Nothobranchius furzeri: one gene and its partner. The protein of the gene in region 1 binds, or shares a complex with, the protein of each later gene. Links are inferred from orthologs where the notes say so. Each region holds a gene or a part of one and is shown in the gene's direction. Other genes may lie near its edges.

The links.
Region 2: nhp2 (region 1) and gar1 share a complex: the UniProt entries of both Homo sapiens proteins name them as parts of the H/ACA small nucleolar ribonucleoprotein (H/ACA snoRNP) complex. The link is inferred for Nothobranchius furzeri from reciprocal best matches to the Homo sapiens genes NHP2 and GAR1.

Annotation. Positions count from the first base shown.
Region 1 is NC_091750.1:25,730,720-25,745,887, forward strand, and holds nhp2 (H/ACA ribonucleoprotein complex subunit 2-like protein), read left to right. Parts: upstream 1-5,198; 5' UTR 5,199-5,311; coding exon 5,312-5,474; intron 5,475-5,544; coding exon 5,545-5,614; intron 5,615-5,814; exon of another isoform or gene 5,815-5,848; coding exon 5,849-5,954; intron 5,955-12,913; coding exon 12,914-13,039; 3' UTR 13,040-13,205; downstream 13,206-15,168. Other genes in the region: cornifelin, read left to right, coding at 1,561-1,683. UniProt on the Homo sapiens protein: Required for ribosome biogenesis and telomere maintenance. Part of the H/ACA small nucleolar ribonucleoprotein (H/ACA snoRNP) complex, which catalyzes pseudouridylation of rRNA.
Region 2 is NC_091741.1:77,340,295-77,355,492, forward strand, and holds the start of gar1 (H/ACA ribonucleoprotein complex subunit 1), read left to right. Parts: upstream 1-12,344; 5' UTR 12,345-13,492; coding exon 13,493-13,727; intron 13,728-14,000; coding exon 14,001-14,155; intron 14,156-14,264; coding exon 14,265-14,324; intron 14,325-14,409; coding exon 14,410-14,533; intron 14,534-14,676; coding exon 14,677-14,802; intron 14,803-14,893; coding exon 14,894-14,904; 3' UTR 14,905-15,198. UniProt on the Homo sapiens protein: Required for ribosome biogenesis and telomere maintenance. Part of the H/ACA small nucleolar ribonucleoprotein (H/ACA snoRNP) complex, which catalyzes pseudouridylation of rRNA.

The DNA of each region.
Region 1 (15,168 bases):
GCTAACTCCACACATGCACAAGGAGAACACACCAACTCCACATATGCATGAGAAGAACGTGCTAACTCCACACATGCATGTGGAGAGCGTGCTAACGCCACACATGCATGTGGAGAACGCGCTAACTCCACACATGCACGAGAACACAACAACTCCACACATGCATGAGAAGAACGTGCTAACTCCACACATGCATGAGAAGAACATGCTAACTCCACACATGCATGTGGAGAACGCGCTAACTCCACACATGCACGAGGATAACATGCTAACTCCACACATGCATGTGGAGAACATTCTAACTCCACACATGCATGAGGAGAACACACTAACTCCACACATGTACAAGGGGAACGTGCTAACTCCATACATGCATGTGGAGAACACGCTAACTCCACACAAGCATGAGGAGAACACGCTAACTCCACACATGCACAAGGGGAACGTGCTAACTCCACACATGCATGTGGAGAACATGCTAACTCCACACATGCACAAGGAGAATGTGCTAACTCCACACATGCATGTGGAGAATACGCTAACTCCACACGCACAAGGGGAACATGCTAACTCCACACATGTACGAGGAGAACACCCTAATTCCACACAGGCACGAGGAGAAGGTGCTAACTCCACACAAGCATGTGGAGAACACGCTAACTCCACACATGCATGTGGAGAACACGCTAACTCCACACGCACAAGGGGAACATGCTAACTCCACACATGCACAAGGAGAACACGCTAACTCCACACGCACAAGGGGAACGTGCTAACTCCACACATGCACAAGGGGAACGTGCTAACTCCACACATGCACAAGGAGAACGCGCTAACTCCACACATGCACAAGGAGAACACGCTAACTCCACACATGCACAAGGAGAACACGCTAACTCCACACATGCACAAGGAGAACACGCTAACTCCACACATGCACAAGGAGAGCACGCTAAGTCCACACGCACAAGGGGAACGTGCTAACTCCACACATGCATGAGGAGCACATGCTAAGTATTGGGTTTAATGAAACAACCTTCTGAGTCCTGGTTCTGATCCAAAGTAACAACCATGTTGGATCCGAACTATTTTCATTAACTCGTAGTTCTCAGCACCAGAAGGATGAGAAAAAAGAATCAGATCTTAATTCACTGCAGCAGGAAAACCCATCAGGATGAAACTGGAGCTGCTTTTATTCTTTGGTCCTGATTTCTGATTATTCTGTAGAAATCAGATCTGATTCCACAGAGCCTCTAATTATCAGTGGAGGTATTTATGGATGAGAGTGGTGCTGACCCAACCCAAACAGCATTCTAACTGAAGGAATCCTGCTTTCGACATCAGGATCTGATCCTGTGAACAAAGTCTTGGTTTGTTCTATTTGTTTAGTTTTAAATGAAATGACGATTAAATCACAAGTTTTTATATGAAAGTCTAAATTCAACCAGAACCTCTTGTGGACTTTTAGGTTCTATAGAACCAGAATGAAGGACGTGTGAACAGGTCTCACAGTAAACCCCTCTGGGTGAGTTCTGTTGTTGTTTTTTTGTTTACTTTCAGGGTGACCTGTGTTTGGATTGCCTGAGCTCCACCTTCTGTCTCCCGTGTGTATGGTGTCAGATGGCCTCAGAGATGAAGGAGAGGCAGCTGCCAACGGTGCTGAGCGACATCTTCAGCAGCTGAGGATGATGTCATCAGCATGATATCACTGCTCCAGAAGTGACTCGGCTCTTTGTGCTATAGGTTTTTATTTTGATGTTTTTACTCTTTTGTTTTGTCTGATTTGTTTTTTTTTAGTGTTTTCTTCAGTTTCAGACAGAAACTTTGTGATTTAACGTGAACACAGCCTGAAGTGTGACCTCAGAGATAGGATCAAAGGTCATTAATGACATCAGATTTGACATCTTTTGTGTTTTATTACTGATTTTAGTGACTGTGAGTCAAATCGGAGGTCCGAGATAAAACTGGTTTGTTTTTTCATTCAGATCTTAGTTTTTTTTATAGAATTGCTGCTTTTGTTTATTTTATATTTTATCAGGCTGTAGACGTGTAGTCAATAATTTGGGACTTTAGTGCATCTTAGTTCAAATTAAAATGTTCTACCTAAAACTGTCAGTGTTGCGCCCCCTTCAGGTAAGAACTCTGCACTGCATTTGAATTTCTATCATTTAACCCTCTCAGGCTCAAAATAAGTTTTGATAAAAGGACGAACACTAAGTCCTTCAGGGGAACTTCTGAGTTAAAAAAATGCTCATGAAAGATATAAGTATGTGGAGTAACCGGGAAGGTAGGTTTTAACGTTGCTAATCTGCAACACCTGCCTCCAGAGGGTTAAAGCCACTCAGTGGCCTAGTGGTGGGGTGTCTGCCCTGGGACTTGGAGATGGGAGTTTGATTTCCGATCGGGTCGTACCAAAGGCTTTAAAAATGGGACCCAGCACCTCCCTGCTTCACACTCAGCTTTGAGGGGTTGGATCGGGGGGGTTAAACCACCAAACCGTTCTCGAGCACAGCCACCGCTACAGCTCACTGCTCCTCTCCATGGGGACGGGTCACGTGTGGAGATGAATTTCACCAGTGTGTGATGATGACTTTGGGACTTTAACTTTAAATCTGCCATCGCTGTTGTCTAAGAGGTCCAGTGTTTCCCAAACTTGGTCCTCAGGGACCACTGTCCTGCATGTTCTCCATGTTGTCCTTTCACACACCAGTGTGTCTCTGCTGCCACACACCTGACTTAAAGGCCCAATGTGTGATATTTCATCTTATAAGTTATCAAATTTCTTGTATCACATTCTCAAATTTGTTTTTTTTAATGATAATTCAAACAAGCATTTATTCTAAGCATTATTATTAGCTTTATATTTTAATATTTTAGACAAAAGAAGCAGACCGGTGCTCCATATGGCATGCGCCATCTTAAAATACAGTGACCTTTTAGGGACATACAACATATTAAGCTTCGCATTTGATGTTTGCGTTTTTAAATGATGTAACCTCAAAGAAACAGCAGGGGGCAGAAGTGCGCCTTGTAAGCTTGCAGTCTGACAAAGTAACTAAGAAGAAGAAGAAACTAGCCACACCGTACTTCTAGCGATGGAGGATCACACATATTCTACAAGCAAACTTGAGAAACGGGATAGTTTGAAAGCGCTTGAAAGCGCCGATCTTCTAGACTTTATTGCAGCTCTGCCTCTTCCTCTTGTGCGTGGGACGTTGCGGCTGGTTTGAGCAAATTCGGCTCCTTCATCTTGGGATGCTTGCCCTGCTTCTGTCGCATGTCTAACACCTCTGCCTCTCTGTGCGCTGGCACACGTCTGTCCTCGCCCTCTTCCTCTCCCTCGTCCTCTGTCTGTCTCCACTGATGAACCATCGGATGATGTCTGACTCTGTTTACGGAGAGAAAACAATTACAGACTACACTACCTTGTATATTTCCAAAATGGCAAATAGAAATATAACATTTCTCAAATAAAATGAACAAAATATTGTCATTTTTTGTAGTCTGAAGTCATCACTAACTAGCTGCCGTTTGCTATTAGCAAACATAACTGACATAAAAAAGTTTTTCTTATTCAAAACCTATTTAGATTAAATTAATAAAATAAGTTAGATGAAAACAACTAACCTGTTCGCTGACTTGAAAGCTGGAATTAGATGATGACATGCTGCCGTTTACAGCAACACGATTTTGTATTGTATTTGTTATATTTGTTAATAAAGTTTTAAATAATGATTAAAAAAACCTTTTTGATCCTCGGGGGCTCCAATAGCTGCAATACCGACTCTAAACTGCGTGGTGCTAAAGAGTCGGATCTTTTTACTATGATTTCTGTGAATTTCACACAAGGGGCCTTTAAATGAAGCAGTGATTAACGGGCATCTGCAGCACTTGATGTCCTTCTGAAGAGCCGATGTAAATCAGGTGTGCTGAAGCAGAGACATGGACAACATCCAGGACAGTTGTCCCTGAGGACCAGGGTTGGGACACACTGAGGTACACTATGACATAAGCTGGTACTATATGATGTCACAATGCTGTTGTGAGCCTGTGTGTTTGTGTGTTTGTTAGTGGCTCCACCCTCTCACTCTGCCAGGCAACAGCATTTGTTGCACTTTTCAAACAGGAAGTGGGAGTGGAGTAAGCCTCTGGTAGGGGGTGACTTGCTCTTTAATGAGTTAACTAGCAACATTTTACAGATAATAATTATTGCTGTGTGGAATTTGTTGCATCTTTAAAATGCTTCGTAACATTTTTCTCACACACATTCCACTAAATCAGAAGTGAGATCAAAGAAAAGGTTTTTATGTGAGGGCGCACGGTGGTTGGGATGGGTAGCGTTCTGTCCACGTCCGTCACGGGCTGGGTGGGGGTTGAGCGGGTGCGCTTTGCCGACCTCCGGGGAGGCTTGGTACTGGAAGACAAGATGAACGGCTCTCTACAGAGACTCGGCTCTCATTGTTCACTTTGAAAACCAAAAGATTTGATTTGCTCGTGAATGTCACATCACTGCAGATAAATGAGTATGGAAGAAGAGGACAGAGCATCGTTCTTCTCCCAGACGGAGCAATAATCATACATTTGTGTCTCTGAGGACTACAAAGATGTCAGAACTAAAACAGACCACCAGCTGTTTTACATCCAGTGGTCTCCTTTAAAATGCAGCTGAACGCTCACCTGTTCAGGTGCTGCTACCTCTTCTTACTCGTTTTCTTTCTTCCCTCTCATTTTTATGTTAAATTTTCCATTTTCACAATTTATTATGTGTTTTTAATCATGTTTTAGTTTTGTTCTTGTGAAGCACCTCTTGACTCTTATCTTCAGAGGTGTTGCCCTTGTTCAGGCTGGCTTTTGTGTGACCTTCTTCACCACTCTCTTTATTCTGCTCTCCCCACCTATTCCACCTTCCTCAGGATCTTTCCCTATCTATTCACTCTCTCTCTCTTTCTTTACATTTTTTTAATCACAATTGTCTATTTTTTGCTCATTTTAAACATATTTTAACCATTTTCTAAATTATTTTTTTATGTTTTACACTTTTTTTTGTGAAGCGCCTCGTGATTTTCATCCTGAGAGGCGCTATAGAAATGATACTTTCTTCTTCTACACACACACACACACACACACACACACGCACACGCACACACACGCGCGCGCGCGTCTACAGGCCCTCTGTAGACTTTGCCGACATTTCCGCTCCTGGCCGCCGGGGGCGCTGTGGTCCAATGGTCCTGTTAGTCCGGGACAAGAGTTAAAACACGTGCGTGCTGGGTGAAAGCAGAAAGCAACAATCGGTTATTGATTATCAGAGATGACGAAGACGAAGAAGGAAAACGCGGATCCAAATGATTCGGTCGCATCGGCCGGTGGTTCCGAGAGGACCTACCAGGAGCTGGTCTCCCACCTGAACCCGATCTCTCAGCCGCTGGCCTCCAGGAAGCTCAGCAAGAAGCTCTACAAGTGCGTGAAAAAGGGTAAAAGACCACCGAGACCCGTTAGACCGGTGCTTGTGTCCCGCTTCTTTACCCGGTGTTTTGATTTCAGCTGCTAAGGTGAAGAACATCCGGAGGGGCGTGAAAGAAGTTCAGAAGTTCATCAAGAAAGGAGAGAAAGGGTGAGTTAGCTTCACGGTGCCCGGGTCCGTCCAGAACCTCAGTCCCCATTACTGTAGTGGTCCGGTCCGTCACTGTTTTCTGTCCCTCAGAAGAAGTTCCGCACTAATTTTTTTTTTATGTATTTAAATGTGAACATTATTCAGTTTTAGCGCATTGAACCATTCAGGACACCGTAGTCATCCGCGCGTTAGAACCTCACCTGTGCTCACCTGAACCCGGTCTGGTCTCTGCAGCATCGTGGTCCTGGCGGGCGACACGCTGCCCATCGACGTGTACTGTCACCTGCCCATCATGTGTGAGGACAGGAGCCTGCCGTACGCCTACGTGCCCTCTAAAACGGTGAGTGAGTGGAGCTGGGGTCAAAGGTCAGCAGGTGTTGTCAGGATTTCAGATTTCTCACACGTCAGTTTTAACCCTTGACTTCAAGTAAAACACACATTCTATGAGGTAAAGGGCTGGTGTCGTGGTTTTTAGATTCTGATTGTGTTAAACGTTATTATTACTATTATTATTACTACTATTACTAGTACTATTATTATATATGATATATGTGTATATATGATCCAACGGTTTTGATCTAAATCAGGGCCGTGTGCATATCTGGTCCATCTACACCGGGGGGAGGGGGTTCCACGTAGTGAGCTCAGAACGTCAGCGCTATAATGAATCCATGCTTCCGTACCACCAACGATGCTCGAGTGGAATCATCTCTATTTAAAGCAAGGCCCACAGGCAGACCCTGTTAATCGATACTAGATAAATGAGAATGGAAGAAGGTACAGAGCCTCGTCCTTCATCTGGATAGAGGAAGATTTACGAGGACTACAAAGACATCAGAACTAAAACATGCCACCAGCTGTTTGATCAAAGCTGGATAGCTGGAGTGTTTACAGGTTTCCATGGCAATGCCGAAAGTCCGCCTCAGCTCTGTTGCTGAGTTTTCATCATTTATATGTTGTTATCATGTTCTGCTCCAGGGTCTGGGTGTTTACAGTCTCGAGGACGTAGTTTTTGCTGAGCAGTAGTGGTGGTCACGTGACCTTAAAGTTGCCCGTTTGTCACAAGTATGTTTATGTTTATTTATTTGGCAGACGCTTTTATCCAAAGCGACTTACAATTTATAACCTATAGGGCGTGTTGTGATCTGTGGGGGAAACCGGAGTACCCGGAGGAAACCCGCGCATGCATGGGGCCAGAGTACAGCTTTTAACGCAGGGCTACTCGGTTAGATTTTTTGTTGGGCCAAATTATCATGAGGCTTTTGCCAGCGGGCCGTACATTTCCCCGTATCTCATATTTACCTATTAAAACAAAGTGCCGCTGCATTTTCAACAGTTTTATTGAAACAAGTCAAATGACATTAGGATTAACTGCTGGTTTTTAGTGAAAATAATAGAAACTGCAAAACATAGCCAACTCTGGTTTTAACAGAACTCCGAGTCACAAACTCAGTTACAGTACTTGTTTTCGCTTAAAATAAAGCCAAGAAAACATAACCAGCTGTAGTTTGACTGAAATCACGGTCACATAAAGAACACAGTAACGATAATTACAATGTCTTTTATGCAAATAAGAACAAACAAAACTTTCAATTAAATCACAAAATTAAACTACTGGCTTTTAAAGCATATAAATGAAAGAAAAGTCTGAGTCAACAACTCATAGTGACAGCACTTGCTCTGTGCTTAGTAAAGCGTAGAAAACAACCGGTTTAGTAGGGCTGGGGGTAAACGATTATTTTTAAAACGATTATTCTGATGATTATTTTATCGAATAGTCGACTATTCTAATGACTATTTAGAAAATTAATCTAATGATTATTTTTCTATTGCACAATTAACAAAAACCAGAAAATCTCAAATAAATTCCTCAAAAAAATTGATAAATTCTTACTGTAAGAGAATAAACACTACAGGCCTTCCATGCTTTTATTGTGTTGGTTGGTTATGTTCTGGTGACGTGTAGAACTTGGGAGTGCAGGCTGCTGCCTGAGAGGTGGTAGAAGATGGAGTGTCTCCATGCTGCTTTGTTTTGGTCACTTATGTGCGTGAGGCGAGTGGTCTTACGGGTTAAACCAAACTCAGGTGATATTTTACACTAAACCGAAAACCCACAACACTCTAAATGTAATAAAAGGGAGATCTGCACCACAAAAAAAGATGAACTCTAAACCAAAACGTAACAGCTTATCCCAACGCAAGAAGCTGTTAGCGAAGATGCTAACAGTAGCTTTACCAACGTTAAGTTCAAGTTACCAAGTTTAAATAAACCAAAAACACCCAGCAGCAAACAGACCAGCATGGAGGAGAGACCGTTACCACCAAAACAGCTCTCCTCATGTCTGAAAGAAGCTCCTTAATGAAGGGAGAAACGCTCCCGGTGATGTTCTACATCTGCGATAGACACGAAGCAGCGCGTCTGACCCCGGAAGTTGTTGTCCGTTGCCGGGAGACGAAGGGGCAAAACAGGAAAGGAATCTAGTAGTGGACGGACGTTGTTCCGGGTCTTCGGTATTTGGCGGAGATGTTAGTGAAGGCGGAGAAGAGGGCGAACTAGAGGAAAAACAGACAGATTCCTCCTCTATTTACAAACTCCTGGGGATGCAACAAGTGGGCGCGGTGCGTCGACTACCGGATCTGACGTCGACAAATTTTTAGAATCGAGCCGTCGACGTCGTCGAGGCTTCGCTACAGCCCTACGGTTTAGTTTGACTGAAATCCCAGTAGCAGTACCTAACATATTTTTTGTGGAAATATCACAGTCATAAACTAAAACGGTAAGAGCAATTGTGCAAATAAGAACAATCTACATTTTGAATAAAATAACAAAATTAAACTGCTGGCTTTTAAAGCACATCAAAGGAAACAATAGTGTGTTTGGTCCTCATACTGCCGGAGACTGATCGATCTCTAATGAGAAAAATGACACTTGACTGGGCAAGATGAGAAAAGTTAGGCTCGTGTGGGGTGACGGCGATCCGCAAACAATGATGCAGATGCTCCTTTGTCAAGGACATTCGATTCTCTGTTTTTATGGCGTTCATGTGAGAGAAGGCTGATTCGCGTGTTGACCCAAACATTGTTAAGACACATATGGCCAGTTTTTCCATGTTTGGGAACATCTCTGGGACAAAGCTTGGCGCAGCCTTTTTCCTGAAGGACATCTTTGAATTCCCCTGATGCCTGTATTTCATAGGGCTGTAGCGAAGCCTCGACGACGTCGACGGCTCGATTCTAAAAATTTGTCGACGTCAGATCCGGTAGTCGACGCACCGCGCCCACTTGTTGCATCCCCAGGAGTTTGTAAATAGAGGAGGAATCTGCCTGTTTTTCCTCTAGTTCGCCCTCTTCTCCGCCTTCACTAACATCTCCGCCAAATACCGAAGACCCGGAACAATGTCCGTCCACTACTAGGTTCCTTTCCTGTTTTGCCCGCCCTCGTCTCCCGGCAACGGACAACAACTTCCGGGGTCAGACGCGCTGCTTCGTGTCTATCGCAGATGTAGAACATCACCGGGAGTGCTTCTCCCTTCATTAAGGAGCTTCTTTCAGACATGAGGAGAGCTGTTTTGGTGGTAGCAGTCTCTCCTCCGTGCTGGTCTGTTTGCTGCTGGGTGTTTTTGGTTTATTTAAACTTGGTAACTTGAACTTAACGTTGGTAAAGCTACTGTTAGCATCTTCGCTAACAGCTTCTTGCGTTGGGATAAGCTGTTACGTTTTGGTTTAGAGTTAATCTTTTTTGAGGTGTAGATCTCCCTTTTATTACATTTAGAGTGTTGTGTAGGGTTTTCGGTTTAGTGTAAAATATCACCTGAGTTTGGTTTAACCGCCCAGTTTAGAGTTTGGATCCCTACTTATTTGTACTTTGTTTTAATTCCCCACAGGCAGAATTAGTTTTATTATTCCCAACCTGTGGATGGAAAGATTTATGGTTTTTTTGCAGTTGTAAATAAACCTGATCATCATTTTAACTTTTAAATCCCGTTATTGTCCCTTCCTTTTTGCACACGAGCTAAACTCCCCAGGAAGAGTCGTAAGACCACTCGCCTCCCGCACAAAAGTGACCAAAACAAAGCAGCATGGAGACACTCCATCTTCTACCACCTCTCAGGCAGCAGCCTGCACTCCCAAGATCTACACGTCACCAGAACATAACCAACCAACACAATAAAAGCAGTGTTATACAAAATGGAAGGCCTGTAGTGTTTATTCTCTTACAGTAAGAATTTATCAATTTTTTTGAGGAATTTATTTGAGATTTTCTGGTTTTTGTTAATTGTGCAATAGAAAAATAATCATTAGATTAATTGTCTAAATAGTCATTAGAATAGTCGACTATTCGATAAAATAATCGCCAGAATAATCGTTTTAAAAATAATCGTTTACCCCCAGCCCTAGTATTTCAGTCATTTCAAGTCGCAGGGGACCTTCATCAGTGCCATGTAACTCCAGGAACGCCGCTGTTTTGGGGGAAGTATTGGGCGTGCTGGTGAATGGGTTCCTCGCGACATGCAGCAACTCTTTGGGAATGTCAAAGTCAGAATCTCTGAGCAAAGTTGTGTTTCAAACGGTCCAGAAAGTCTGACACGACCTTTGTGACTTTACCACATTGTGATGACTTCATGAAGCCACTGAGGGTTGGAAAATGCAGCAGTCTGCTACTGAGATCGGATGAAAACATGTCTAGTTTATTTTGAAAAGCAGTCAGTCTTTCAACCACATCAGCAACTGTTTCATCTCTCCCTTGAAGTCCCAGGTTAAGTACACTCAAATGATGAAAAATATCACATAAAAACACATCTCAGACACAAATTTATCATCCAGCATGTTGGTCAGAAATGTTTCAGCCTTCCTCTGCTTGCATTCACGAAGAAAAGTAATGATTTCTTTCCTCAGTTCAGACTCTCATGAGTGCATTTCCCTGGCTTCACCACCTCACACTGATATGCAAAAGTAGGTCAGCATGCTCAGCTGACATTAACAAGAAGTTTGCGAAACAGTCCGTGTTGGAGACCAGATGTTGATCTGATAAAGTTACTTGTAGCCATGACAGAATCCGTTATGTTTTTCAACTCGCCACTTAATTGTGCGCAAAGGACAATCCTTTGATCTTCCCCGCCATCGAAGGCGCGCCATCTGTAACAAGCAGCTTGATACACTCCAAGTCCTGTCCGTTCTCTCGAAAAACATCCACAATCTTCTGGAAGACTTTCTCCGGTTGTATGCCCTTCAAGTGGTATTAATCCCAATATGTCCTCTTTGAAACGGTGACCATCATAAAAACGCACAAGCATACAAAGTTGAGCAACATCCGAGCTGCCCGTTGATTCATCCACAGCGAGGGATATGAAGTCAGCCTTCCTCATATCCCTAAAGCATCCACTCTTCTCGCAGTGGTTGTATCGGACAGTGGAACTGATCTAATCGAAGTTATAACTTGCTCTTTCACGTTTTCATCCGTCTCCACTTCCTCAACAGCAGCTTGTGTGCATTCTTGCACTGTTTCAGCATCTGTAAATGCTCTTTTATTTTTAGTCAATATCCATGCGATTTGCAGAGGTGCTGTTGTGGCTTTCTGCTGCAACGTGCAGGTTCGGGTGAAATGCACACAACTTCGCTGATAGCTTTGGCTCGGTGTCTTTACTTTTATCTGTCGAGCCTCTGAGCCTGGTGGATATTCATTGTCAAAGTTAGCGTGACTCGTCTTGAAGTGCCTCCGCACGTTGTATTCTTTCTTTACCGAGCAAATGACGAGGCAGACGAGGCACATGGGTTTCCCTTCAGCATTTTGATCAGTCCACTCGTCGTTAAATCTTCTATTTTCGGTGTCAATTTTACGTCTCTTCTCTTTTGAATGTGACGTGTTTTTTCCAAGAAACTGCTGCTATAAGTCGTCATATACTTTCCATCAGGAGCTGCGCGACTTGTTTTTAAACCTGCCGTTCACGGGCACTGACGAGCTTAACAGCGTCACCGGCCTGTTGGACGGGTCCCTAAAGCTTGGTTTATGCTTGACGCATTCACTTTCCACGCGGTGATGCGGCTCGCGGCTGGAACGCGCTTCACAACTCGCAGCGTTTATGGTTTGTGCGGCTCGTCTCTGCGGTGAGCCAATATTCTCCCAAACTGTAGGGGGCAGCATGGAGCTCTACAGCATGCATCCAACACTACACCATAGTAGAAGTAGAAATCACTGTTTACAACATGGTATTTCAGCATTTTTAACAGCGTCCTCGTCTTTTCCGACGGTGCGAGCTATTTCTCTCCAAGAATTATTAACAACATGTTGATCACGGTGATCTCTGAGAGCTGAATCATACAAATGTCTGTATTTACGAACCTCTGCCGTGCCGGTCCGCCATGTTTTTCCGCGTCCGACCGTCCGCGTGGTTAGAAATTTTCCGAGGTGCGCGTTGCGGAAATCTTGGGCCGTGCGGAGACGCGGTGGAGGGGCGTGGTTGTTAAAATGATGCAAAATGACGCTACTTTTCCGCGCGGAGCCGTGCGGACCTCGCGGACGCGTCAAGCATAAACCAACCTTAACGCTCCAAAACGTGCCGTAAAATGTCACAAAATGTTGTAAACTGCCGCGATTGAGGTTTAGCCGTCGGCTGCTAATAACCGCGACACTGCTACTTGAAAAACCATTTATCAAGAATTATGAAGACAATGGGCCGGTCCCAAATGCTTGATGGGCCGGTTCTGGCCCTTGGGCCGCCTATTGAACGTGTAAAGTACGTGTGTTATGGTCGCAGCTGTAAGCTAGTTCAGGCTATTTAACATAAAGAGGACAGCGTGTTAATATATGATGTGGGTCCATCCCAGACTAAAGCTGATATATAATTATAATAATTAGGGGGGCCGCAGTAGCTCAGAAGGTTGCAGGTTCGATTCCGGCTCCAGCCAGAGAGTGCTGCTGTTGTGTCCTTGGGCAAGACACTTAACCCACCTTGCCTGCTGGTCGTGGTGGGAGGGGCCGGTGGCGCCTGTGCTCAGCAGGCCCCGCCCCTGGGCAGCTGTGGCTACGTCGTAGCTCATCACCACTAGCGTGTGAATGGGTGAATGACTGTGTTGTAAAATGCCTTGGGGAGGGGGGGGGGGTTGTAAACCCCTAAGAAGGCGTTTTACAAACACAGACCAGTTACCATTTGATTTTGGGATCACAGATTAAACCGGTTGTGGTGAAGATCGGCCGATTCTGATCTGGATTTGAGCTCATCTGATTTTGATTGGTTAGAATACAGGAAGTGTTTAAATCTGCGATTGTTGTTTCTGAACCTTATTTTGAAACTCCTCCAGGATCTGGGCTCGTCCGCTGGCTCGAAGCGGCCAACCTGCGTGATTCTGATCAAGCGTCACGAGGACTACCAGGATGCCTACGACGAGTGTTTGGAGGAAGTTTCTTCCCTGCCCAAACCGCTCTGAGCTGCAGCCAATCAGAGAGCAGCTCTGAACGCCTCTGTCACCTCAGAGCCAGCAGGACGCTTGGGACTGTTTATTGATCTGATAGATTTGAGTTTGATCGTTTGTTTCTGCCTGTTTTCCTGTTTAAATTCTGACTTTTTTAATTCTATTAAACCTTTGAACATAATCCGACTGAAGTTTGTTTGAAGTTGTAATAAAAGTAAGTTTATCTGAAAGTGCTTGTTTAGTCTTTAGGTTTCCAACTTAAACGTCAGTTTCAACCAACTGTAGTTTTTAAAATTTACCTCAAAACAGGAAGTGGTTCCAGATCTGGTTTGACCTTTTCTGACCGAAGCTTTATTGTTTTGTTATTACTCTAATTTACAGGCTTGTCTGGTGAGCCACACTGGTTCTGTTGAGGCTGGTCTGAGACCAGCTGGGTTAACTCATGAGCTGCAGTTTGATGGTGTAACCACCAGGTGGCAGCAGATTGGCTTTCTGATGATAAACAGATTTCTGAGGAGGACGCATTAGTGTAGAGCAGCTCTGGGCCTGCAGGGCCGGTAAGCAGAACGTTTTTAACTGCTTCAACACATTTGGTTGTATTTGGTTATATCAAATGACCTTAATATTACTGCACCTATAATTACAGATATGGCTGTATCTCACCATTACTGTTTATTTTTTTAATGCTTTAGCTGTTCCTCCCCAGCTGCATAACCCTCAGGAAGTCAAAAATTATTTCGACAATAACAGAATGGAAAACCTGCGTCTACAAGGTCAAACAGATGATCTAGTGATGGATTTTAATTTAAAATACGAAAACGTAATGGATCAAGTTGCACCTTTTCAAACTAGATGAATAAAAAAGATGAAACCCCCCTGGAGAAAAGGGCTCGAAATCAGAGTCTTACGGAGGAAATCTAAACTTCTAATTCATTATGATAATTGTAGAGACCAACTTTATGAGTACAATAAAGAAATAAAAAGCAGAATTCGCTTCTTTTCTAAAATTATAAATGAAAATATTAACAATAGTAAAGTGCTTTTTACGACAGTCAGTAAGATTATCAGTCCTTCTGGTATTCCTACTGAGATGTCATCTTTAGCAAAATGCAAGGAATTTGCATCATACTTTAATAACCTTTTGAACATTAGGCAGAATATTTCCAGATCCAATAATGACCTCATACAACAGCACTCCAGTACCACACTCTGTACTATGGCTCACTTTAAGCTTTTACATGATAAAGCACTGGATAACTTGATTAAACAACTAAAATCGCCCACTTGCAGCCTGGATCCTATTCCAACAATCTTTTTTTAAAAATATTTTCCACTGTGTCGGGTGGTTTAACTCTAAAAAACAGGTGGTTACTTGTGTACCTCAAGGCTCGATCCTTGGTCCGCTATTATTTAATCTGTATATGCTTCCTGTTGTGCACATTGTTCAAAGGCACAGTGTTAATTATCATAATTATGCAGATGACTTTCAATTTAATATTTCATTGTCTTCTGGTAATACAGCTCCTCCTCACTCTCTTACACAACGTATTAAGGACATGGATGCCTGGATGTCTGAAAATTTCTTACAATTAAATCAAAATAAGACAGAAATTCTGGTATTTGGTTCAAACGCAAAGAGACAGACAGTTGGAGATCTTCTTGCCTCTCTGTCCCTTCAATGTAATAATGAAACGTGTAACTTGGGTTATTAGATAGTGACCTGAATTTTAAAAAACGCATTAATCATACAACTAAAAAAGATGAAACCGATGTTTTATTAAAGATCAGCAGGAAAACAAACGTTTATAGTAAACTAAATGTAGAAGAAATCAAACCAGAAATAAAAGTTCTTCAAGCTCATGAAAAAAAAAACAGTTTGATTGATATGATTTAGGATGAAAACCACCTTCATTCAAAAGCAAAACAAATCACTTCAGCACAGAAAAGATCCGTTCAGAACCCAGAAGAACCAGAGGGCAGGAATCAGAACCGAACGGAGCAACACCTCTGGGTTAGTTTGGTGGCCACGTTAATCAGGACCAGTTCTGCCTCTTCATGTAGTACCCAGCCGGGTCGGAGAGCAGACACTGGTTCTGGTGGCTCGAGCTGCGGTTTTTGGCATCAATCAGGACCAGAGGGGACTG
Region 2 (15,198 bases), on another chromosome or scaffold:
GGAGAGTGTAACAGTGTCACCGCCATATTGGATGGGTCTCACTCAAAAGTCAATGCAGAGTGGGCAACTATGGCCATTTTTGTGCAGCCTACGGTTGCAATAACCTGTGTACTATTGAAAACAGATCACATAGGATTACTATTGACTTTTCTAGGCTACCTTATATTTTCATTTAGTTTGTTAAATTACATGTATAATTTAATTATCATGACATACCATGTGTCTGATTTTGTGAAATAAGCTTGATTAAAGTGTGTTTTTTAGTTGTGTAAGCACCTTCCTCAGAGGAAATGAATGCACTGGGGGCAAATCTAAAATGGCTGCTGGCCACTACAGCAGCTCCATTAGGCAGAGCCAGTCCACGGGCCATCTACATAAATATGTCTCTGGTTATAGTTCTGAATGACTCATTAAAAGAAGTAAAACGCCACAATTGACTCATCATTCACTCCCCACATACATTTTACTGGAATGTCAAGTTGTTGGTTATTGAACAACTTTCTTTGGATAATTTTAGAGCTAAATGGTAGATGGCCTGTATTTGATATAGCGCCTTCTAGAGTCCTGGAACCCCTCAAGGCACTTTACAACACAATCAGTCATTCACCCATTCACACACACATTCACACACTGGTGGGGATGAGCTACAATGTAGCCACAGCTGCCCTGGGGTGCACTGACAGAGGCGAAGCTGCCGAGCACTGGCGCCACCGGTCCCTCTGACCACCACCAGCAGGCAACGTGGGTTGAGTGTCTTGCCCCAAGGACACAACGACAGCGACAGACTGGGCGGGGCTCGAACCTGCAGCCTTCCGATTACTGGGCGAGCACTTAACTCCTGTGCCACCGATTTTTTTTTTCTAGTTCACCTTTAGCATTGTTAGCTCACCGTTGGCTTTTAGCCTGCTTCTACCGATAATAGAGTAAAAAGAAAAAAAGATGCTGCAGAGTTAGCTTAGTGCAGACTCTGCAACCTCACAAACTCACTGAGTGTAAACAGTAACTTCGTCCCTTTTTGTGTTTTTTTAAGTGAGAAAACCGACCACCACCCAGTCGTCTGAGACAGCAGATCTGTTCAGTGTAACCTTCCCTCCAACAGGACTGAGACATTAAGCTGTTTTGTGATTATTTCACTATAGACTCCTTACATGTTCCTGCTCTAAGTACATGACATATTAGCATGCATCTTTTTAAAGCTCAATGCATTTTATTGCAGGTAAAATGTCCCCATTCTGTCACTTAAAATTTTATAACTTCTAATTATAATGCCTTGTCTTTTAATATATCAGTCAAACCTGCACAACTTTTATTTGACAATTTAATGTTAAAACAGGACACCCTACTTTACAAGATTTGCCACTGCTTGAGACAAAACTGTCCCTGAAAATGTTATGCCATCCTCAAATGAGGTTCAGTATATTCCACTACTGAGACAGAAGCTAAAGCTAACTGTGTCAAGGAAAGGCCGAGGATATCACAGCCAATGCCAGGCATTAGGCACATAATGGCTAGGATTTACTGATAAAACAGGGGCCTCACAGTGGCAGTTCTCAGGGACTTAAGTGGGTCGACTTGGGGTTGTAAACTACATGAATTCTGCGTTCTAGCTGTCAAACATGGTTTTGACTTTCATAAAATCTTTAGAAAATGAGGGTTTTAATGTTTGACGTGTTGCAGTGGAACTATGGACTATGAAATACTACTGAAATATTTATTTCACCAGAAAGATGCACAAACAGATGAAATGTTCCAGTCAAGAGGTCTAGTTCTAACATTTGTGAAAGTGGCTCAGGGTTTAGGAGTTTGCCCTGTAGTCAGTGGGTTGCCGATTAAAACCCAGGGCTCCTTCAGTGTCAGTTGAGTCCTTGGGCAAGACACTTCACCCTACTTGGTGGTTGGAGGGACCGGTGGCACAGATTGTGTAGCAGCCTTTCCGCTGTCTGTGTGTCACATGGCAGCTGTGGTAACGTTGTAGCTCATCACCACCATCAGTGTGTGAATGACCGAACTGTACATTTTTTTAGAGTCCCTGGCTTAGAAATGTGCATTATTATTACTATTATTATTATTAATATAAAAAATTGAACTGGAACATTTCTTAAGTGAAATGCTATGATTAGAATTAACACTACTATGCACTGGATAGAAAAAGAAAACCTGAAAAAGAATTACTCAAATGAACAAATACCTTCACATTTATTTAAAAATCCAATCTTGATATTACTTTCCAGCAAATACACGTCCCTCCACATGTTTGCTTTCCACTACACAGTTACTTTTGCTTATGAAAAAAAAACAAAATGTAAAAGCAAAGGCTAGCATCTGGGAAATCTACTCAAACATAAAATAGTTAGACTGATTCTTCGGTCTGACGCAGGAAATTCTTGCATTGGACAGAAGTTTTTCTGAGGATGCAGAACATCGGCTGAAGGCAAGTAGACCAGTTCTGATTCACTAGTCATAAGAACAGCTAAGATTGTTTTCTTTTGTTAAGGTTTGGCCTCAGGTAAACACCACCAACTATAAACCCTACAACATCTTATTAAAAAATAAGGTGGTTCATGCTAGAAACCCCTCAAATAAAGCTGAATTACAACAATTCTGCAAAGATGAGAGGGCCAAAATTCCTCCAGAGCACTGTAAAAGTTATCGCAAACGCTTGATTGCAGTTATTGCTGCTAAGGGAGGCCCAACCAGGTATTAGGTTCAGGGGGCAATTACTTTTTCACACAGGGCAATGTAGGTTTGGATTTTGTTCTCTCCCTAAATAATAAAAACCATCATTTCAAAACTGCATTTTGTGTTTACTTGTGTTATCTTTGACTAATGGTTAAACATGTTTGATGATCAGAAACATTTTGTGTGACAAACATGCAAAAGAATAAAAAAGGGGCAAATAGTTTTTCACACCACTGTACCATGTGTTGGTTGTGGTCAGAGGGGCCGACGGCGCATAGCAGCCTCGCCTCTGTTAGACTGCCCCAGGGCGGCTGTGGCTACAAAGTAGCTTACTATCACTAGCAGTGTGTCAATGTGAGTGTGTGAAAGTGTCTTTGAGTGTCCTGAAAAGCACCATATAAGTTTAATGCATCATTATTATTATTTCCTATGTGTAAAAGAGTCATCGTGAACAAACACCAGCATTGAAACATATCAAGTATCATTATTCAGTTTTCTAAACCCTTTTATCTTTCCAACAATAACTTCAGACAAACTGGACATTAACATGAAACATGAAGAGACAGACAATCGAGCCCTAAAAAGCGTGCAGTCCAGTGGTTTTAACTCAGACAGCATGTCCTCCACGTATCAGTTGCACAATGCTGTGACAACTCCGGAGGATACTGGGATCAAAAAGTAAAAAAAAGAGGGTAGTAGACTTGGAGTCATCACTTTGGATAGTTTTCCCAAAGATTAGAAAGACGTTCAGACACATGTACCCAAGAAAGCCTTATAAATCTGTGAGCTAGTCCAGCATTTACAGACGACGGTACCCAGCCTCACCAACACCTGTTAAAACTCGTCTTCCTCTCGCTTTTGATCTCTCATCTCCTCCTGCTACTTTGTTATCATCATGGCTCTCCTTCCCTCTCTCTAAAGTTTGAATTATTTTCCCCAAATGTATAAAGAGTTGTTCTAAGTTGTGCAGTTTGTGATTAATGGTGCAGGCAGAGGAGACCAACCAAAGACAAGAGGACAAATCTGTTTTCCACTTTAGAAGAAGATGGAAAATCCGGATCGCTGCCAAAGGTATTCATTTGATCCGAACAACACTTCAATAAAACAAATTCCTTGGACAGCTATTTTTGGTTCTTTACAGACGCAATCCCCAAACAACCCTTTGTCTTCTGACCTGACAGCCTGCAACTGTTTTGCTAACCGCTCTTGATGACTCTCCCTTTTTAAATCGATACGTAATATTACCAAGGACGAAACGCGGTAAGCCTGACCACATGAAGCAGATATTTCTCCACGGCTGATTTGGTGCCAGAGTTTTTTAGCCCAACTTCTCAGACAAGATAGTCTGAAGCAGAATCAGTGTCACTGGAACTGCCAAGTACGACAGATGTAGGGAGAATTAGCCCTGTGGAGATGAGGCAGTTTATAAATTTGAAGTCTAAAGAACATTTTATGTTTTTAATTCAGGTTTTCATCAAAGCTTTGAGCAAAAAATAGGAGACATCAACATTTAACCCAGATAAAATAGCAATCTCTACACAGAACAAAAAGACGTTGATTTGGTTAGATGCTCTTGTTCACACAACAGAATCTTGTGTGTGATGTAAAAGTGCCACCTAGTGGTGAATGTGGGAATTAGCTGCAAAGAAAAAGTTTTACTTTCTTAAAAACGCATGAATGGTAAAGACAAATAAGAAATGTTTCCTTTTTTATCCAGTGATGAAAGCAAGTAAATTCTTCATGTCTTTGGTTTATCTTCTTCACAGTCCTGAAGACTGATAGAGCGGATGCTGAGAAAAGGAGAAAAAACAAAACAACTAAAAAATAGTGATTAAACAATTCCTTTAACTAAATAAATTCATTTATTTGAATAATAAAGTTGTTAGATCTTTTTAAAACTAACATTGATCAGTCCCAGCATTACAAACAAAGCATCCTTTCAGTAGAAATACTCTAAACAGTCATGAACCAGCTTAGAAAAACATCTTTAGATGAATACACAACACACAGAATAACAAATACAGTGCATCGAAATAGCCATAATATTATGACTATGTGGCAGTGTGAGCGTCCTGTCACAGTGACCCGATTGATCATGCGCCCTGGCTACTTGGCCACGGGGATGTCCCTTTGGCTGACTGGTTAGCGCGTGTGATTCTCACCCGGGAGTCTGGGGATCGAATCCTGCCTGCGCCCTCGCTTCTCCACCTTGCCACAACTATATGCATGTTATGAAAGGTGTCCATATTTTGCAGCTAAAACAGCCTTAAGGTGTGATGTGGGATTTGACACGAAGACATTCTGCTAATAACTAAATAAAGCCACTGCGGTGTTGTTCTTGACCAAACGGAGATCAGGACAGCCTTGAAGTAAACTCAACACTTTGAACTCTTGTTATGTTCCTCAAACCATTTTTGAACCACATTTCCTACCTTAGTCTGATACATCTATCCCTGAAAATGGTGGCTGAGAACAAGCAGTACCTTTTACCCGTGAAGCTCCACCCCTAAACTCTTTTCCCCGAGTGCATCCTTGTGCGGTCAGCAACAATTTTTAAATGATCTTGCTACCTAAAGAAATAAAAACTTATCTTCTCAAGGTAAATAGCACAGACCCTGATGTCCACATAATGTTGAGAAAAGGACTGTGCAAGAACTAAAGTTGTGAAAATGCCATCGCCCAGCTGTTTGGACGATTATCATGCTTGCTCAAATGTTGTTTCAATAAATCCACGTTAAAGACTAGATTGCTTTCCGATTTCCTCCCAGTAGAAGGAGCCATTTTAAAGATGATCAATTATAATAGTGGGTGTTCATAATGTTTTGGACGATCATTTTATATGCCCAATAGTTTCTAAAACTAGTGTTTTCCTAAGAATTTATTCCACTACTTTCCTGTTTTTACACACTGAAGCACTTCCTTTTTATATTATGTAGAAATGAAGTAAAAATGACACCATGTGGTAAAATTTGGTTACTGCACCCATTTTAAACAACTCAAGCTTTTTGCCGGCTGTCGTCAAATTAAAAATGTCGGCGCTGCAGTATTAGCCCGCAGGAGACACGGCACCCCCACACTCTGATGGCAAACAGTAGTAACGTCCCTTTTTCCTTTGTTTTGAAAGGAGAAAAACTGACAATCCCCACAGCCAGCTGGATATGAAATATGTTTCAGTATAACCTTCCTTTCTTAAATGACAGAAAAATTTGACTCTATTGGGAGTCACTGTAAAATTCTCTCTATATTCTTACATACTGCACCTTTAAAAAGTCAGACTGTGACAAACTGTACTTAATGGCTGAGGAAGTGAGGGTACTGGACACTTTGACATTGTTGTTTTCAGATTTTTACTAATATCCTTACTTTGGACCTAATCTGACGTGTAAGAAAAGCACCATAAAATAATTTTTGCATTATGTAAATTCAAAAACAAACATATTTTGTGGCCTGCCAGGACTATAACTTGACAATTTTGGCCCTCATCCTAAACAATTAGGACACCCTTGGATTAGAGGGATCTACAAACAAGCACATAGAAATAAAAAAGTCAACTAAAACTGAGAGACATAAATGACGACACCTTTCACCATTCTCCAGGGGGTTAAAGGCCGTGTTGATCTCATTCAGCGGCTGCGTGTGGGTGATAAACTCATCCAGCTTCAACTTTTTACTCATGTAGTCATCCACAATTTTCGGCACACCCAACACACTCTTCCAGCCTTCAGAAGACAATGACAATAACAAGGTGGTGATCACGTTTAGTTCAGAGAAACCACTCTGGGTCATTCAGAACTACATTTTAGATGAATATTTAAAACCATAACTCACCAGATCCTACAGGAAACCCTCAAACACAGTTATTTTGTGTTTAAACAACTTAAGGAGAACTTTGATTCTCTTAGTCTTATACTCATCCAGCTCTGCTCCTGGATTACGACCAACAGCTGCTTTATGGTGAACCATTGAACTTGTTTCCAGCTTACCTCCAAAATACGTCCCCTTCAAGGTGCGTCCCATCAGGATCTTTATGACTGGGACACTCATCGTTTCAGTCTCCATCCGCCCGGCGATGACGCAGGTCCCACAGGCTTCAGCTGTGGACTCTAATGCTGCAATCTGAGAAAGCACAAGATGTTTGAGTTTAGTCTTCTTTATTTTCTTACATGTTGACGCAGATATTTAGAAAATAATCAATAATTTTAGAGAGCATTCAACCACTTTTATTTTTGCACAACTCATACCTGAACTACCTGTAACTTCCTGGCACACTCAGTCCGTAGCAACCTGCAGACTCTTGACTCTAGGTTTAATTAATCAGATAATTACAAATCCACCATGACGTCTGGCTTTCCGACACACTCCAGAGCAACGTCCACTCCTCCAGTTGTCTTCTCCACCAGAACCTCCTGGATGGATTTGCTTCCATTGTTCGGGCTGATGCACTCAGTGGCTCCAAACAGCCTGGCCTTCTCAAACTTCTGAGGGTTGGTGTCAACCCCGATGATCGTTTTCGCCATGGCATTCTTACAGCCTATAATGGCAGCCATTCCGACGGCTCCCAATCCAAACAAGGCACACTAGGAATCTTTTTCAACCTGAAAAAGAGAAGTAAAACAACCATTTTTTTCACTGATGAGGCATACAGTCACTGATACAAATTAATGGCTAGAGTTATTTGTCGATAGGTGTGCCGGTGTAAATCTGGGTGTAAAAGATAAAACCTGGATGTAGCTGTGGAGAGTGAAAGGTGCAGTTTTAATGCGTGTGAAAATGTTGTCCACCATATAAACCAAGTCAAATAGCCCAATTTAATTAGCGATGTGTTATTTATTGCATTTGTAACAAATATTAATTTGAAGCTCAACCACAATTTATAATTTTACTTTGCAATGATGCTCCTAGTCTCATGTTTCAGAGAATATGTTTTAAAAATGGATGCTGTACAAAGCTGAAGCCAAACTGTTAACAAAATGCCCAAAATATTTGCACATTTTTATCTGGAATTAAATTTAAGGCCAAAGTGTTACAGTGTTGACTGTGACTTTTTAAACACGCATGAAACCATTTATAATAAAAATAATCTGGTAAATTATTCATTTCTAAAATGGATGATATCTCGTGCGTATTTTATCATGTAGCAAACATCCGGTTAAAGGCAAAAACATCTAGTGCTATCTACTGGTGAGATCTACACCTTGAAAAGTGTATATATATATATATATATATATATATATATATATATATATATACACACACACACACACACACTAAGAAGATGACTTTCTGCAAAAAACAGCCACTTTAACATTAGAAAGTACATAAACTATAGAATGAACAAAGCTGTTTACTGGTTAGAGGCCCCTTACTTTGCCTGAATTGATAGCAGCACCATAACCGGTGCCTAACAAGCAGACTTTGCCCAGAGGTGCATCAGCTACTTTTGCCAGAGATGTGTCAGGAAGCACTGTGTACTGACAGAAGGAGTCAATACCGAGGAACTGATAGACCTACTGACCTTTGATGGAAATCCTGCTTGTGCCATCAGACATTACGCCCTTTTGTGCATTGTCCCTAGAAATCACATGATGTGCATTCAGACCAACACCCATGTGATGTTTGTGTTTCTAAACATGTGACAAAGATGATCTACCAGTTCTTCCTGCAAAAGTTTGTTTTTGAGCTCTGGCACCGATCACACTTTCCACAAAAAGGCAAGAAAAGAGGAATAACTATCTCCTGGCGACAAAACAGAAGGACAAAAATTGAAAGTTAGAACTCATCACAACTTTTGAGTTAACTGTACAGGCCATCATACCCGGTGAGAATGCATTCTCACCGGGTATGATGGCCTGTACAGGGTATATGGCCTGTACAGGGTATGATGGATCTCTGGACCAACACTCTCCACTACGCCCGCTGCCTCGTGGCCAAGAACTAAAGGGAATGATCTGAATTTCAGTCTTTTCCCAGTCTCATACAGGTATTCCCAGTCTGTGTGGCACAGTCCAGTAGCAAAAATATGTTGCATAAAGTAAAGAAAGGAAATAAATAAATCAGGAAATGATTCATCTTGCAGTTTGCATATGTGGATGTGAAAAATGTTCACATGCGTAATACTTTTCACTATCACACGCATAAAGTCATGATGTTTTATGAAAGTGCTGCTGAATTATGTCCTTGAGCTTAGGTGGAGCAACACTTCCTCGATAGACAAAGGCTTCTTCTGCTCCCAAGCAACAGCTGCTTTACACTTGATCACCTTTTGTAATATAAAATACACATTCATTCAGGTTTCAAATAAAATCACAAGACAAGGATCAACAAGCAGTCTAAACACGGTGAAAAATATCAAAAAATACTCACCTGTCCTGCCTTTGCCATAGCTGATTAATGGCTACTCAGTCTGCAGTCCACTAAAACATGAAGATATGTTTATATCCATTTATCTGTGAAGCGACTTTTGAGCTGTCCCACTTGCTGTTGCATCACATATCAACGATGCCTCCAAAAAGCGCTTTACTCATATAAATATTACCGTTGGGCAATTACGACACTTTCCGACTGTGGTAATCGGGTTTACGACAGTCTATGGTCACACGTGTTATTTGAGTGCGAAAAGGCTTCTTGTAGTCCAGGTAAATAAGTTCCTCTGTACTTTTGTCACATATGTTTAAAATGTTTAATTTAAAAGAAACTCAACAGATGTTGCGTTTTGTCCGTTAAAATAACTGAGCGTGTAAACGTCTTAATTGCGGTTTAAGCTAACGCGTTAGCATCTACATGCTATAATCCACGCCGTGAACTGCAATCACGTCTGTTCTCGGTTTTTAGTTTGGTATTAAGTTATGTAACCGTTTATAGAGGTTGCAGATATTTTTGAAATGGAATACAGTCTGGAAAATGATCGATTGCCGCTGTTAAAATGGTTTAAATCAAGGTTAAAACAACATTTGAAACGAGAACTTAGTTAAATAGCGGTGTCAGATTTGGTCCTCTAGGACCACCAACCTAGATGTTTTAGAGGTTTCTGCTTCAACAAACGTGGTTTTAATCGGCAAGTGATTAACGGGCCGATCCGAAGCCTCTGGGCAGGTGAACTAGGTATGTTGGAACAGAGAAACAACGAACATGCTGGACAGGGCCCTCCGTGACCAGACCAGGGTTGGAGCTAACGACACTGGAGCAAAGGGGTCTTGGATTAGTTTTGAATCAATCTCAAAACCATTTTAAATATAGAGAATATAGGATTTTAAACAGTCAATACATATCATTGGGAGACTGATCTTAAATTATATACATTTTAAGGAGGTTTATATCAAAGTGGAGTTTATTATGAAGCAATTTCAAGAAATGCTTACTACAAACACTGTCAAATTTTAAACATAAACAAAATAAAAAGAAAACAGTTTAAATATAAATAGAAAATATAGAGAAAAGCAAATGGCATCCAACACAATATAAAAAAAAGCAGCTCCTGGATAGAGTAAACTCAAGTTCTACATCTGGAACAGCTGGTGGGTTTTGGTTTGAAGACATGACACCATATAATACCGTTATCTGTCCGTGCAAGGGCACACCAGCACGCTCACAAGGATGGGACAGTCTAACCCACTTTTTAAACATCTTTTAGACAGAGAATACAGTCTTGTGATTGGTCAGAACTCCGCTTTCGTCAACAGCACTGCCATTGCGCCCTCAAAAATATAAAGAAGGCCAAAGATATCCAGCGGCACACAAGGAGCAGCTTGATGAATACCTCATGGAGGAACTCTATAAAAATATAAACGTTTTATTCACCCATGACTGGAGGAGTGAAAAGACACACAGCAAACGCTCTATTCGTGGACGAAAATTACAGAAAACGTGGGTTTAGAGGTGGCGAGCGCATGAAGAGGTGGGGGAGCATGAGGGACAAATTTGTCTGTCTTAAAAATTTTCTAAAATACAAACACTATTAACCCAATAGGAACAGGTCTATCTTGGACATTATACATGACAGTATACCCCAGAACTACGCCCTCTATTCCTGGAGGGGTAGCTTTGCAACACTCCCCAGAAGACGGACAAGTCGGAGATCAAAACATCTCTGTTAATTTGTGTGCTGATGCAAAAGCATAAACTAGGCTTTACAAGCAAGGCACTCATTCCTACTTGAGACCACTGCAAATGTATAAAAAATATGAGTAAAACTGACCTTAAACAAACTGGTTGAAAAAAAAGAAAAGAAATTGGTTTGGCCCAGGTGGGAATAAAGAGAAAAGGTGTGATAACTAGGGTTGTCACGGTATGAAAATTTAACCTCACGGTTATTGTGACCAAAATTATCACGGTTTTCGGTATTATCGCGGTATTTTTTAAACGGTGTTGCATATGTTCAGAAAGCATTGATAGTCCTGTTCTACACAAACTGAAATAGTTCTGTAAAGGTTTAACAATGTTTATTAAACCTAAAATAACACAAAGCCTTAGCAAAAGTGCAACTTTTCAGAAGTAAAGAACAAATAGCTTATTTTTCTGGAACATGTTACAGTAGTCAGTGCAGGTTTAAATTATACAAATCCAAACATTCGAAACATAAACAATATGTAAACAAATCAAAGAAACACCACTTGTTTTCTCATATACTTGTTTTCTTCATTATCAAAATGAAAATCTAAAACTCCAGTCCACACTTGACTTGAGCACTGTACAAGTCAACCTTAAAAAAATATGTATTTAAAATAAATAGCCACTTTAAACAAATTACTAAAATAACTACTACACTATGTAATCAAATCCAAATGTTCAAGTATAAATGGCATTGAATAAGTAAACAAATCAATGACAAGGAACTAACTGTATATTTCTCTTCATCATCAACAAATAAGATGCTTCATCCAGCAACAGGTGTCCGTGACACGGTTTAAATGCTGGCAGAGGACGCTGCGGCTGCAGTATATAGTGACTCGTTGCATTCTCCCTCAACCAAAAGTCCTCACGTCATGCATTTAAGCTAAAATGCTAATGTTAACTTACCTTGCACTGGCTGTAGAGACGTGGGTGATGGTCACGCAGATGTGCCATTCGATTCGAAGTGTTGCTGCCTTTTGCAGACACTTGTTTCCTGCACGTTCTGCAAACGGGATAGCAGTCTTCTATTAACTGTCCCTCAGCATTTTTCAGAAATCCAAAATATGCCCATACTTCCGATTTAGTCTTCTTTGACGGCTGATGGATGTCCTGGGCGCTGCCGTCTCCTCCTTCGGCCATTATTTCAGCTTCAAAGTTTTGGTGCCGTTGCAAACTAAAAAGTGCGTGTGCGCGCCGCGGGAACTTCAGCTGAAGCGACGGTGGCTGGTAAGGGTCACCGCGCCGAAACCGCGGCCACGGTAAACCCACCGAGATAATATAGTTTTTTAAAAACTGGACGGTTATTTTTATTGTCAACTTTTTTACCGGGGTTTACCGCTATACCGGTTACCGTGACAACCCTAGTGATAACACAAAAGTAAATTTCTAATTTTGATAAGAAAATAACGTTTGAATTAAACACTCAATGTGACTTTTAAACAACAGCGTTGGTCTTAAAGAGCAAGTTACCCCCTACCAGATTCTTACTCAACTCCCACTTCCTGTTTGAAAAATGCAACAAATGCTGTTGCCTAGCAGACCGAGAGGGCGGAGCCGCTAACAAATACACACACACACAGGCTCACAACGACATTGTGACATCGTATGGTACCAGCTAATCAATTCAATTTAAAAATACTTTATTAATCCCAGAGGGAAATTAGAGTTTCAGTACACACAATTCTGAGATCAGACATGCATACATGGACACATGACAAGAATTGGTGACTGTGGTCATTTGCAACCCGAGTCGCGCTATCGTAATAGATCAAGAGGGTTAATATGAGGATAGAGTCAGGGGGAGGGAAAAAAGGCACTTCAGTTACCCTCAACACAGAGGGCAGCTTTGCAATGCAAAAAAAAAAAACCACCTCAGACAGATATGCACAGACTTTAGACATTACACAACACAAGTGTCCACTAGGTGGGGAGGTAGGGTTGGGACTCTCCTCACTTCAGTGCGTGCAGCCACATGGAGCAGCATTCATCACCTCCGCTTGGACAGGAGAGGGAGATAATGGGTTAGAGGGCACATTTGACTCCTAGATACGGTTCCACAACCTTCACCGGTCACAGTCCCGCCCAGGCTGGGATAGGGAGAATGTTTCCATAGCGACGGGCCGGCAGCATTCCACATTTCTTCTGTGAGGGGAGTATTCACTTCAGCCTCACAGGCTCCAAGGGCACCAGATTCAGATAAAAATTGTTTTGGGGACAGACAGATGATTTCCTCTCTTCCTTAGTGTTCTGTTGGTCTTCAACCCCTCTAGATCCAGCATTGGCATAATTAATCTAATGTTCTAGGGTACCTCTTAGCCAATAGAGATTTGGCAGATTTAAGTTCAAATGCAGTGCAGAGTTTTTACCTGACAACGGCACAACACTGACAGTTTTAGGCAGAAAATTAAAATTTTAACTAAAATCCACAAAAGTGCAAAACTATTGACTACACGTGTCTGCAGACCGATTAGATATGCATTTATATAGTTTCTAAAAAAAAAAAGTTGATTTGGGGGTGACTTGCTCTTTAAGCTGAGGATTTTATGTGATCACCAAAAATCCCAGCGACTAGAATTTATTTAATAAAGAATTTGAATTTAGCTGAAGAAATGTGAAAGAAAGTTTAAAAATGACACGACACCAAGGATAGACAAAGCTGACCGTCTTCAGCGTAATCGTTCCACGGTTCTGTTTTACCTTGGTGATGAAAGGCTGTAAAATGACCCACCGTGTGTGTGTTTTCCTGACACCTTCATTTACAGACTTGAGAAGAATGTCTTTCAGAGGAGGAGGCGGGCGGGGAGGTGGGCGAGGTGGTGGGAGAGGGGGAGGTTTTAACCGAGGTGGTGGATTCAGAGGTGGTGGAGGATTCGGACGAGGAGGTGGAAGAGGTGGTTTTAACAGGCAGCAGGACTACGGTCCTCCAGAGTACGTCGTCGGTAAGTAGACTGTTGTTCCTATTTGGCAGATTGAAGCAACATTCACACTGCATGTCTTAACGCTCCATTCCATTTTTGTTTGTGTGGTTGTTGAAATTGTGCCTCAAATGTGACACCAACACTCTTCAGTGTGAACGTAGCCTGTTTTCTTATAAAGCCTGTATCCACGGCTCAACAGACCAGTCAGAAAATGACTGGATTAGACTGCAGTTTGAATTTTAAAGGTATGTTTTTTTGTTTTCTGAAACTCATCGTTGTGTTTCTACTCCACAGCTGTTGGAGAATTCATGCATCCCTGTGAGGATGATATTGTATGCAAGTGTACAACAGAAGAAAGCAAAGTTCCCTATTTCAATGCCCCGGTGTACTTGGAAAACAAAGAGCAGATTGGAAAAGTGGATGAGATATTCGGCCAGCTCAGGGACTTTGTATCCTTTCTTGTGTGTTTTTTTGAGTCATCTGTGTAAAATGATTAAAACACTATTGGTTTTTTTTAAGCTTCCTGATAATTAAATTCCCTAACTAATGTGTGCGCAGTATTTTTCTGTAAAATTGTCTGAAAATTTGAAGGCATCGTCGTTCAAGAAAATGCAGAAGGTAACTGATGAGAACAAGAACGTTTTCAGATACTGAACTCGGATACTTCTGCAGGTTGTGATATTTGTTAAAATTGGGTTTTCAGTTTTACATAGACCCGATGAAGCTACTCCCATTGCAAAGATTCCTGCCTCGGCCCCCAGGAGAGAAAGGCCCGCCAAGAGGAGGAAGGGGAGGCGGCAGAGGTGGAGGAAGAGGCGGTCGTGGAGGTGAGTCATTTCAGATGTTTAGTCCTTTTTGGTCTTTTGCTTTAAAGTTTTTTAGGATGGTTTTTGTTTCTACTAAACCAATTTCCGGTTATTTGAACAGCTTGTAAAAGTGGTGTGATTTTTTTTGTTGTTGTTAATTTCAGGTGGTTTCCGGGGTGGCAGGGGTGGAGGATTTGGAGGTGGGCGTGGTGGGGGGTTTGGAGGTGGACGTGGTGGTGGTGGTGGAGGAGGTTTCAGGGGAAGAGGAGGTGGAGGACGTGGATTCAGAGGTTGGAGCATTGTTATTGTTACCGATTTCTAGTTTTCATTTTATCATCTGGTGTTAATTGTTGTCACGTGGTTTATTTTTGTAACTTACAGGAGGAAGATGATCGGATGCTGTTGGGTCTGCTGTCAACATGTCATCCTTGTCTGTGACATATCCAGAGCAGACTTTTCAACTTCTTGATGACCATGAGTGGGTTTCTTTTGTATTAATGTTTTTAATGGTGTATTTTTTTTCTGTTTATGGTTATTTTTATTTAAAAGGTTCATACGAAATGTGTGGATGGGACCTTTTCTGTTGTTTTGGAGCATTTTAAATACGATTGTAGACAAACAAAAATATTTTACACCTGCAATGTAGTCTTGTTCATCAGGATTCCAGGAAACAAACTTCTGTAGTA